Lonchura striata: one gene and its partners. The protein of the gene in region 1 interacts with the protein of each later gene in a pairwise test. Links are inferred from orthologs where the notes say so. Each region holds a gene or a part of one and is shown in the gene's direction. Other genes may lie near its edges. The genes, in order: OTX1, SPRY1 and GRN.

Region 1 (3,740 bases):
CACCTGCCTGCCCCCCTCGCTCCCTCCCCCGCCGCGCCCCCTCCGCGCCCCCCGCCCGCTCCGCCCCGCGCTGCCCCGCGCAGCCCCCGCCGCGGCCGCCGGGCGGGCGCTCAGTCGCTCCGCAGGTGGCCGCGCAGGTGAGGCGGGCGGGGGCGGTGGGCACCGCGCTCACCGACGGGGCGGGCGGCGGCGCCGGGACGGAGCGTAGCGGGCCCGCGGCGCCGTGGGCAGGGGTGGTGAGGGCGGCCGGGCCGGGGCTGCCTCGGGATTTTTTTTTTTTTCCTTCCCTCTCTTCTCTTCACTTTTATTCTCCTCCTCTTCCCCGTTCTCTCCTGCCGGGACGGGCCCGCTCCGCCGCGTCCCCGACAAAGTTATGCAACGCCGGGTCCCGGCTCCGCCACCCGACCTGCGCCCGGCGCCGGCCTACGGGGGGCCCCGCGACCCCCGCCCGGCATCCCCCGCCCCGCGGCCCGGGTGCCCCATCGCCCCGGCTGGGGGGAGTCGTGTCAGAGAGCGGGGGCTGCCCCCGGGGCTCGACGGGGCCGCCCGGGGTCTCTCGGCTCCTTCCTCCCCTGCGCGGGTATCCGCGGCATTTTGCCCCGGGCCGGGCGCTGCCGGGTCTCCGGTGCCGCGTCCCCCGCCGGCCCGTCCCGGCTGCCCGCGCTGTCGCCGCTCGGCTGCCGGCGCGCTCTTTTTTCCTTTTCCCCTTTTTAACTCTTATCCATTTCTAATTAAAACGTCCCCGTCTGCTCGCTTTTAAATTAATTATACTTCCCTCCTCTGATACCTCCTTTTGATTCCTAATCCAATTATCTTTTTAAATAATTGCTTTATCTGTCCCGATCGCCGGGCACTGTTGCCTCTCGGCACTTGCGCGCGACTCGCCTTCGTTTAAAATAAAATAATAATAAAATTAACAATCGGAAGCCGCCCGCGCGGAGCCCCCGCGCCGGGCGGGCGCAGCCCCGCGGGAGCCCCGGGCGGCCGAAGCCTCACCCGCTTCTCTCCGCTCTCTCCCCAGGCGCTCCGGCCTCGCCTCTGCGCGGGGAAGAAATCCGCCTGCTTCTCGATCCTCGTTGTTATTTTGATTTTATTTTTCCCCTTCGTTTTTATTTTTCTCTCACTTCACCTGCTATCTCTCGAGGACCTCGTGGCGGTGACGGCAGGACTGAACGAAAAAAACTCTTTTCACGCCGACTTTGTGCTCCGTTTTAAAATTGTCGTTGGCTTTAATTTTTTTTTTTTTTTGGTCTCTTATTTGGGGATTTTTTCGGGGGCTCTTTTTGTCAGTTTTTTTTTTTTTTTTTCTTTCATTTCCCCCTTCCCCACCGCATACATTCGATTTGATTTTTGATTTTTTTTTTCCTGCTGGACTTTGGAGGAAAACTGCCCGGCTTCTAGCATGATGTCTTACCTCAAACAGCCCCCTTACGGCATGAACGGGCTGGGGCTGACGGGCCCGGCCATGGACCTGCTGCATCCCTCCGTGGGGTATCCGGGTGAGTGCCGCGCACCGCGGCCCCCCAGTCCCCCACCCTCCAGCCAGCGGAGGGGGAAAACTTCCATCCGTGCGGGTTTGGAGGAGCTGGTGGGGCCGCACGGCTCAGGGTGGGTGGTGGGCTGGTTGTTTGCCTGCACCCCTGCCTGGGGACATTGGGGTCTAGCTGGATTTTCCCCCTGCTCCCGGGATGTCTTCGTTTTCCCAGGGATTTTTAAGGATAAAAAACTTTCAGATTGAACAATAACAACACAAAAAAGTAATTAATTTCGACACAACGAAATCTCGCCGTGGCTCCCTCTGGAGCCAGGCCTGACCCTTGCCCAGCCCTGCGCCCCTCGCCCTGCCGGCAGCGGGACGCGCTGCGGCAGCCGGGGGTGTGCGGGGACGCTGCCGCTCTTCGGGAGCGCCTCCAGCCCTTGTCCCGGGGACGCCGGGGCTCCCCCGTGCCGGGGCGTGCGGGAGGTGCGGGGGGGCCCGGCGTGACCCCCGTGGTGGTGCTCCTCCCGCAGCCACCCCGCGGAAGCAGCGGCGGGAGCGCACCACCTTCACCCGCTCGCAGCTGGACGTGCTGGAGGCGCTCTTTGCCAAGACCCGCTACCCGGACATCTTCATGCGGGAGGAGGTCGCCCTGAAGATCAACCTGCCCGAATCCCGAGTCCAGGTACCGGGCCTGCGGGGGGAATCCTGCACCGCTGTGGGATGGGGATGCAGGACCACCCCAGCTCAGCTGGCGCTGCTCAGACCGGCTGCTCCATCCACACTCATCCTCTTTCCTTGGGATGGGGATGTGTGTGGGCTCCCATCTGCTCGTCTGTCCCACTGTGGGCACATTCAGCCAAAGAGGGAGCGTTTATTTTTTATTCTCTTGTATTATTTTTATTAATATATTTTCTGTCACCGTCCACCTGCTCCAGGGTATAGCAGCCCTACCAGCTGGGTGCTTCCCAGAGGAATTCCCTTTGGGCACTGCTCAGTGGATACCCAGGAGGGCAGGATATGCAGGCAGCCCCCAACACAGGATCTGTCCCCCAAATCCATATTTTGTCACTGTGCCAGGGATATGCACGAGCTGGGACACCACAGACTTTGACCCTGGCCACCCTTGCTTTTGGCAGGCTGTGGGGTGCCCGGGTTGCCGGGCAGGGGTGGGATGTGGGATTGTATTTAGGGGTGTGAGGGGTGCGCAGCGTTAGTGGTACCGGGAGAACTGGTGCCAGGCTGAGGGTGGTTGGCCGAGGAGGCCCTTCGGGGCTGTTCGCTCACCCCACCGTGCTCCTTGCTCCCCTGCGCCCCGTTTTGTCCCTGCAGGTCTGGTTCAAGAACCGCCGCGCCAAGTGCCGGCAGCAGCAGCAGAGCGGCGGCGGGGCCAAGAGCCGCCCGGCCAAGAAGAAATCCTCGCCCGCCCGGGAGAGCTCGGGCTCGGAGAGCAGCGGGCAGTTCACGCCGCCGGCAGCGGCCTCCAGCTCCGCCTCGTCTTCCTCCTCCAGCTCGGCCTCCTCGGCGCCGGTGGGCGCCCCGGCCTCTCTCAGCACGCCGGCGTCATCCATCTGGAGCCCCGCTTCCATCTCCCCGGGCGCGGCGCCCGCGGGGGTGACGGTGCCCGAGCCGCTGCCGCCGGCCGCCGCCTCCTGCATGCAGCGGGCCGGCCCCGCCGCCTCGGCCGCCTCCGCCTCCTACCCCGTGTCCTACAGCCAGGGCGGCGGCTACGGCCAGGGCTACCCCGCGCCGCCCTCCTCGTCCTACTTCGGGGGCGTGGATTGCAGCTCCTACCTGGCGCCCATGCACTCCCACCACCATCCCCACCAGCTCAGCCCCATGGGGCCCTCCTCGGTGCCGGGCCACCACCACCACCACCCGCTGAGCCAGAGCTCGGGCCACCACCACCATCACCACCACCACCACCACCACCAAGGCTACGGCGGCACGGGGCTGCCCTTCAACTCCTCCGACTGCCTGGACTACAAGGAGCCCGCCGCCGCCGCCGCCTCCTGGAAGCTCAACTTCAACTCCCCCGACTGCCTTGACTACAAGGACCAGGCGTCCTGGCGCTTCCAGGTCTTGTGAGGGACCGGCCACCATCCCCCCGAAGCTGCCGCTGGTCCCCCACGCGGGGACTCCCCACCGCCTCCCGGGCAGGACTCTGGGCTCTTCCTCCTCCTCCTCCTCCCTCTTCGTTAGCAGTGGCGATGTCCTGGGGAGGTCCTGCCGCCCCCATCTCTACTGACTGATATTTATTTGC
Region 2 (3,740 bases), on another chromosome or scaffold:
AAGGTTGTGCATAATGATGAAAATTTCAAAAATGAAATGAAAGCTTAGTGAAGTTTAATGAAAAACCACTGTGCTGCTTCCACAAGTGTGAGCTGGGTGTGCAGACTGTCACAGAGTACCACCTTTGTGGTACAATCCTGTTTGTAGGGATTGTTTGCTTTTGGATGTATGTTCCTGCTAAGCAGCTCCACATATCCTTAGCACATACTTCTTTTCTTTGGGGCAAAAGGTGGGAGAAGTTTTGTTTTTGGTTTTTTTTTTTTTTTTTTTTTTTTTTTTTTTTTTTTTTGGTGAAAGAGATTGTTAGTATGGTTCAGATAAACTTAAGGCTGAGTGGTGTTTAGCCAAGTACTGGAAGTCTCAACTATTCCAATACCTTACATGTTGTTATGAGAATTTGGATGTGCTTCATATCACTTTCCTGTTCTTTTGGTGGCCTAAATACTCTAAAATATTCTAAATATTAGAATACTCACTGAGAAAAACCAAACCCCCAAAAATCTTACGTCAAATGTAATATCTGGCCATAAAACTACTGACTTGGAAAGCATCCCTGTATCTCCTTGGCATCATGGCAGGGATGCAGTCGTGACCTTTAGATCGGACCTTGCCGAGGCAGGGCTGGAAAGGTGGGAGACAAGACAGCCAGGTCGATAACCAGTATCATCTCTGCTGCAGTGACAGCCGATGGGAAGAGCCTCTTCCTATCTCATGGCAGGATGGCGAGAGGGAGTGCTTTTCTCGGGTCCTCAGCCGCCTCCGCAATAGCCTGAAAGAAGCAGAAAATACCTTGTGAATATAAACGAAGGGCTGTTCCACCTGGCTTGAAGGGCGCAGACGGCAAAACGCAGAGAGGAATCTCTCTGTAACTCTGTCAGAGGAGCGTGGCAGAACTTCAGCCCTTCAGCAGAGCCCTGTGCCCGCCGGTGCCGCGGCAGCTCCGTGAGCTCTGCCCGCCCGGCCGAGCGCAGGCGGGGGCAGCGTGTGCGAGCCGGGCAGCTCCGAGCTCCGCCGGGCCGAGCCCGCGGGGCGCTCCCTCTGCCGGCGGGGCCTCGGGGCCGGGAGGAGCCGCGGCCGCGGGACAGCGCGGGGCCGGGGCCGGAGAGGGGCAGGTCCTCCCTCCTTCCCTCCTCAATTCCCTCCCTTCTTCTGTCCCTGGCGGCCCGCGGGAGCGGCTCCCGGCGGGAGGGCGGGGAATCCACGCCGGGATTTCGGAGGCACACTGACATCAGGGGGGCGCGGCCGGCGGCGGGCGGGGGCTGCGCGCTGAAAGGCGGCGAGGCGCGGCCCGAGTCACTCCGGAACGGCGGCGGGGCAGCGCGGAGCGGCTGCCGGCACTGCCCGGGCTGGATCCGCGCCGCCAATGTGCCGCGGGAGGCGGGCGCTCACCCCGGCCCTAGGTAAGCCCGGGCGGCGCTCGCCGCGCCGCACACCCACCTCCCGCCGGGTCAGGTGCGGGCGGGCGGCCGGGGCTCCCCGCGCCGCGCTGGGGGCGGCCGCGCTGCGAGGCGTGCGGGAGGTGCGGGCGAGCCGCGCTCGCTGCTCCGCGGGGCACCGGGCGGGAGAACCGGGGCTCGGCTCCCCGGGCCGGCAGCGCTGAGTTGGGCGCGATTCGCTGCTCACAGAGAAGCTCCGGGTCGGTACTCGCCCGTCCCGCCCGACGCGGGGTCTCCGGCGCGTCGGAGCTCTGCGCGACCCTCTCGAGCCTGCGGAGACCTCGGTGCCAGACTGCGGCGTGCGGGGTCGCCCCTCCCCGCCGCGTCCTGCCCCTGCCCCGAGCCTGTCACTCGGCCCCCGGCAGCGACAGCCAGCACATGGCTGTGTGCGGCGAGCTCGCAGGGCCATTGCATTGCGCTGCCTCTGGCTTCGTTCGCAGTTCGCTGAGTTCTGCCTGGAGAGCTAGAGCCGCTTCTTGATCGCTTTAGAAAGAAAATAAAAAATCAAAACGAAAAAAAGCAAAAACCCAACCGAATCTTTCGCACCAGAGGTTGTGGTTGCACTTTGCCAGACGGGACTTGCGGCAAGGACCATGCGGTGAAGCCGAGCGCCGGAGCGGGACCGCAGCCCTGCACTCTGCGATCGCAAAGGGAAATAACAAACAACCGGAGCAGGAGCCGCGCACCCGCCGCCTTTTCACAGAGACCAGCATCGCAACAGCCCCGCTGCCTGCCGCAGCCTGCAGCCGCCTGAGGCTCCATCCAGATACTCCGCTTTGCAGGAAGGGCTGGATTTGCTCCCCGTCGCCTCCGGACCGAGAGAGCCGTGGCCGAAGGAGAGCGCCGCTTCCACGGGCGGCCGGGGCCGCTGCATGCTGACCCCGGGAGAGGGGAGCTGAGGTGGGCAGGAGAGCGGGGCTCTTCTCTGCTGGCCTAGTAGGACGTGGAGATCGGCGAGCGAGGGCTGCGCGGGGACTAGGAGCGCAGCCCGCCGGCCCTCCCCTCCCCGGGGGCCGGGAGAGCGAGGAGCCGAGGCCCCGCCGCCCCCCGCCCGCTGGATTTGCCGTTCCCGGTGGCTGCCTGCACACCCGTAAGTTGGGACCCGCCGTGCACTCACTCGCGGGGCCGGCGCTGCCGCAGCGAGCAGGTGCCGCGGGGCGCTGCGGCGCCCGCCCGGTGAGGGGCGGCCCCGACCACCCTCCCACCGTCCCCCTCCCGGAATGGAGGCACCGGGCTGCTGCGGGAAGGTTTACTGGGGATCGTGGCCGGCTGCGAACGAGCAGAACGTCAAAAACATCCCCCAGACGCTCCTCGCAGGTGGGGGCTGGAGGGGCTGAGGCGGAGGGTGCCGAGCCGCAGCGCGGGGCTGAGCGGCCGCTCGGCTGCCGCTTTAAGCGCCAGGTAATCTGCTCTCCCGAGGCAGCGCCGGGCTAAGATCTGCCTTCCTCTGGGGAAGAGAGAGAGAAGGAGAGAAAGAAAGGGAAAAAAAAACAACAACTATGTTTTCATTCATAACTTTTTTTTCTTCCCCTTTTCCCCTCCTCTTCCTTCCTCTCCGTCAGCGCCGTGATCCGCTCCGCTCCGCTCGGGGCGCAGAGGGCGCCGCGCCGCCGCCGCCCGCCCGGGGCTGCGGGGAGCGGGGCGGAGCAGGGCGGGACGGGGGCGCTGGCGGCGTGTCCGAGCGGGTGTGGAGAAGGGGAGGGAAGCGGGATCCCACCCCCGACGGGCGGGGAGGGAGCGCAGCCCCGGGTGCAGAACCGTGAGGGCTCTCGCCGCCTGCATCGTACGTTATTTTATTATTTTGTTTTACTAATTTTTCTTTTATTGTCCGGGGGGAGAAGCAGTTTACGAGCGATCTGCGCGGGGGTGGAGGTGGCTGTTCAACTCTCGCCCCGGTCTGCAGCTGGGCTTGTCAGTCTGCGCCGCGTTGATGTTGCGCTTTCCCCCCAAAGATGGCACTGGACGTCTTTGCATTTTCTTGGGATATTGTTTTTCATCCCCTAGGGAGCCCAGCTCCTGACTGGTACAGCTGTAAATCTTTCCCTTTTCGCATTCATTCAGCCTTGGTCTGTTGTGGATTTGTATTCAGTGCTCATGAAGAAGGCTGCTTCTTGTGTGGGGTAGGAGGAAATTCTTTGCTGGAGGGTGGTGAGGCACTGGCACAGGAAAAGGCTGTGAATGCCCCATCCCTGGAAGTGTCCAAGGCCAGGTTGGATGGAGCTCTGAGCCACCTGGTCTAGTGGAAGGTGTCCCTGCCCATGCCCAGGAGCTTTGGGACTGCAGAGTCTTTTAAGTCCCTTCCAA
Region 3 (3,740 bases), on another chromosome or scaffold:
GATTTGGGGGTCTAAGGAGACGCTGGGGGCTGGGAAGGGAGTGTGGAGGGAGGTTGGCATGGGCTGAAAGGGATTTGGAAGGGTTGGGAAGATCAGAGGGGGTTTAGGGGTTTGCAGGGGATTTGGGGTGTTGGAAAGGGAGGTTTGGAGTTTATGAAGGGTTTGGAGGAAGTTGAAGAAGTTGAGGGGATTTTAAGGTTTAGGGGGTGTCAGAGTGGAAGAGGTTTTGGAGTGAATTTCCTGGGACGGGGGTCATTTGGGGGACTTGGAGGCAAATGAGGGAGTTGGTGTAGGAGGGGAAATGGGAGTTAAGGGAATGTTTAGGATCGGTTGGAAGAGGGGTTTGGGGAGGTGGAGGGGGTTTGGAGGGGCATTGGCATTGGAGGGGATTTAGGGGAGCTTGGAGGGGGTGGGAAAGACTTGGAAAGGAAGGTTAGAAGTTTTGGGAAGGGTTGGAGAGGTTGAAGTGGTCTTTGGGGCACAGGGGCTTGGAGGGGACTTGGAGAGGATTTAGGGCCACTTGTGGGCATTGGCAGGGAGGATGGGGGAGTTGGGGGGCAAAGATTGGAGTTTTGGGAAGGTTGGGGATGTTGGGGAGGACTGGAGGGGGTTGACGGAAATTTGCAGGGTTGGGGAGGATTTGGGGGCCTGGGAGGCACTGGGGCTACTGCCTGCCCTGGGAGCGAGGTCTGGAGAGCTCCAAGACACCAAGGGGCAAAACCCTGAGACCCGGGCAGGGGGATCTGTGCCCCTGATGGGCTCTGTGCCCCTGGTAGGCTCTGTGCCCCTGATGGGCTCTGTGCCCTGATGAGGGGTCTGTGCCCCTGATGGGCTCTGTGCCCCTGGTGGGCTCTGTGCCCCTGATGGGCTCTGTGCCCTGATGAGGGGTCTGTGCCCTCGTGGTGTCTCTGCCTGTGAGAGGGGAACTGGGGCTCACACAGGAGTGCTCCAGGCTGCAGACAGAGGGGTCCGTGCCCCGGGCAGGGCGGTCTGTGGGTCCGTGTGTGTCCCGGGCAGGGCGGTCTGCGGGGTCTCTGTGGGTCCGTGTCCCGGGCAGGGCGGTCTGCGGGGTCGCCGCCCCGCTCCCGCTCCCTCAGGCCGAGCCCCCCCCGCTCTCGCCGCCCTCAGCCCCAGGGGGTCGGAGGGGGGGGGGGGCTGGCACGTGACCGCCCGTCACGTGGCGGTGTGAGGCGGCCGCCGTGCCCGCCCCCTCACCCCGGGCTGGCCAATGGCAGCGCGGCGGGTGCGGCGGGCGGCCAATGGGCGGTGGGGGCGGGGCTTGCGGCCAGCGGTGGGGGGGGCTTGCGGCCGGGACCGGGAGCGCTGGTGGGGACCGGGAGCGCTGGGACACACGGGCATAGCCGGGAGGTACCGGGAGCACTTGGAGCACTGGGAGCTGCCAGGAGGAACTGGGAGTCTCGGGAGGAACTGAGAGTCACGGGGGCCACTGGGAGACACTAGGGCTACTGGGAGTCATACGGACGACTGGGAGGTGCTGGGAGCTTTGGGAGGAACTGGGAGTCACGGGAGGAACTAGGAGGCACTGGGAATCATGGGGCAGCACTGAGATCCACCGGGAGGTCCTGGGAGTCATGGGAGAGCACTGGGGGTACTGGGAGCCCTGGGAGCACTGGCGTTACTGGGAGCACTGGGGATACTGGGAGCACTGGGAGCACTGTGGTTACTGGGAGCACTGGGGGTACTGCAGTTACTGGGAGCACTGGGAGCCCCGGCTCTGCTGCTGGGCGATGTCGGGGGTCAGCCCAGCCCTGCCCGGGGGGGGTCGCAGGGGTGGGGGTGCAGTGACACCGGGGTCCCCCCGAGCCCCCCATGGGACACAGCCCCCGTGGCCGCGCTGGGCGGGGCGGGAGGTGCCCGCAGCGGGGAAAGGGAAGTGAAAGTGACCGTGACCGTGACCGTGACCGTGATTGTGGGACGGGCCCGTCCGGCACCGCAGGGAGATGTTATCGGGGCGCGGTTGGGGTGCCACACACCGCAGGGTGTCCCGCTCTCCGTGGGTGCCCCCAGCACCCCGGGGTGGGGGAGCTGGCTGAAGGGGGGGATGGGGCTTTCCCAACACATGGCTGAAAGAAGAAGTTGAGAACTGCCTGCCCGCACAGTGAGAAGGGAAACTGAGGCCGGGGGGTTCCTGCAGGTGCCCCCAGAGCCATGAGGACCCTCCTGCTGCTGTGGGTGGCCCTGGCCAGCGCGGGGGCCCAGCTGCCCTGTCCCCAGGGGGGACCCTGCCCCATCACCCCGGTGAGTGCACGGAGTTTGGGGGGATCGGAGGGGCCTCAGCAGGGGATGATAACCCCTCCTATGCCCCCCCAGGCCCTGCCTGCCCGCAGTGCAATGGGGTGCCAGGACCGCTCATCCTGCCCCGCCAACTGCCAGCTGCCAGAGGTGAGCCCCCTCCCCTGTGCCTCAGTTTCCCCCTGTCCCTGCCGTTTGGGGGGCACTCCCTGACCCCCCTGCGCTCCTTCCCCCTTCTCTCTCCCCAGAGTGTCCCCTGTGCCGGGGGCCACCGCTGCTGTCCCCGAGGGTCCCGCTGCAGCACTGATGGGGAGTCCTGTGTCACAGACCCAGGTACAGGGACACGGGGGGGTGGCGGGGGTCAGGGTGGGCCTCAAGGGGACAGGATGGACACGGGGGTGCCTCACCTGTCTCCGCAGCCCCCCGTGCTGTCCCCTGTCCTGACGGCCAGTCCGAGTGTCCCGATGATGCCACGTGCTGTGTGACGGGCAGCGGCGCCTGGGGGTGCTGCCCCATGCCCCAGGTACGGGGTGTGGGGACACGGGGACGCTGAGGGGGGGGCCTGGCACGGCCGTCGCTGTGACGAGCATGGCTGGCACCCGCAGGCCTCGTGCTGTGCTGACAAGGTGCACTGCTGTCCCCACGCCACCATCTGCGACCTGGCCCGCGGGCGCTGTGTGTCCCCCGCCGGTGACACCGACATCCCCTTGGGCACAGCCTTCCCCGCCTGGAAGCGCCTGCCCCCTGCCCCAGGTAAGGGGTGTGCCCGGGGGTGCCCTCACTGTGCCGGGCCCTCGGAGGGGACGCGGTGACACCGTGTGTCCCCCCAGTGGCGCTGTGCCAGGGGAGGGGACGTGGTGACACCGTGTGTCCCCCCAGTGGCGCTGCGCCAGGTGCTGTGTCCCGATGGCCGCTCGGCGTGTCCCGATGGGGCCACCTGCTGCCAGCTGTCCCCAGGGCAGTACGGCTGCTGTCCCCTGCAGAACGTGAGTGCTGGCACAGCCCTGGGCACCCTGGGATGGGCAGCTGTGCCAAATCTGTGCCCAGCACCCCAAACCCCCCACCCCCCACTGAACACCCCAAAACAAGCACCCCATGCCAGACACCAAATCCTAGCCATCCTCCACCAGGCACCCCAAACCAAGCACTCCTGTGCCAGGCACCCCAATCCAGCCACCCCTCACTGGGCACTCCAAACCAGCACCCCACACCCCAACACACGTCACTCATCCTGTACCCATCCATGCAGGCACCCCATTCTGGACATCCCAATTCCAAGCACCCTACAGTGATGCCAAGCACCCTATTTTGGGCAGCCTGTCCCAATCATCCTACACCAGACACACCTTGTTGGGCATCCTGTGGTGGACACTGGGCCCTGGGCACCCCAACCTGTGCCATGTCCCCATACCAGGCACCCTGCACTGCCCCACGTGCTGTGCACACCCTGTCCTTGTCCCCAGGGCCCCTGTCACCCCATATCTCTC

The links.
Region 2: the proteins of OTX1 (region 1) and SPRY1 interact in binary tests that used the Homo sapiens proteins (3 or more experiments, as listed by UniProt). The two-hybrid records come from large-scale screens. The link is inferred for Lonchura striata from reciprocal best matches to the Homo sapiens genes OTX1 and SPRY1.
Region 3: the proteins of OTX1 (region 1) and GRN interact in binary tests that used the Homo sapiens proteins (3 or more experiments, as listed by UniProt). The two-hybrid records come from large-scale screens. The link is inferred for Lonchura striata from reciprocal best matches to the Homo sapiens genes OTX1 and GRN.

The regions. Positions count from the first base shown.
Region 1 is NC_134605.1:870,837-874,576, forward strand, and holds the start of OTX1 (homeobox protein OTX1), read left to right. Parts: upstream 1-1,402; coding exon 1,403-1,499; intron 1,500-2,010; coding exon 2,011-2,162; intron 2,163-2,809; coding exon 2,810-3,565; 3' UTR 3,566-3,740. UniProt on the Homo sapiens protein: Probably plays a role in the development of the brain and the sense organs. Can bind to the BCD target sequence (BTS): 5'-TCTAATCCC-3'.
Region 2 is NC_134606.1:69,052,743-69,056,482, reverse strand, and holds the start of SPRY1 (protein sprouty homolog 1), read left to right. Parts: upstream 1-1,264; 5' UTR 1,265-1,400; intron 1,401-3,175; exon of another isoform or gene 3,176-3,219; intron 3,220-3,544; exon of another isoform or gene 3,545-3,556; intron 3,557-3,740. UniProt on the Homo sapiens protein: Inhibits fibroblast growth factor (FGF)-induced retinal lens fiber differentiation, probably by inhibiting FGF-mediated phosphorylation of ERK1/2. Inhibits TGFB-induced epithelial-to-mesenchymal transition in lens epithelial cells.
Region 3 is NC_134627.1:2,570,818-2,574,557, forward strand, and holds the start of GRN (progranulin), read left to right. Parts: upstream 1-1,285; 5' UTR 1,286-1,368; intron 1,369-1,374; exon of another isoform or gene 1,375-1,492; intron 1,493-2,155; 5' UTR 2,156-2,169; coding exon 2,170-2,259; intron 2,260-2,331; coding exon 2,332-2,403; intron 2,404-2,501; coding exon 2,502-2,586; intron 2,587-2,672; coding exon 2,673-2,776; intron 2,777-2,858; coding exon 2,859-3,006; intron 3,007-3,132; coding exon 3,133-3,239; intron 3,240-3,740. UniProt on the Homo sapiens protein: Secreted protein that acts as a key regulator of lysosomal function and as a growth factor involved in inflammation, wound healing and cell proliferation. Regulates protein trafficking to lysosomes, and also the activity of lysosomal enzymes.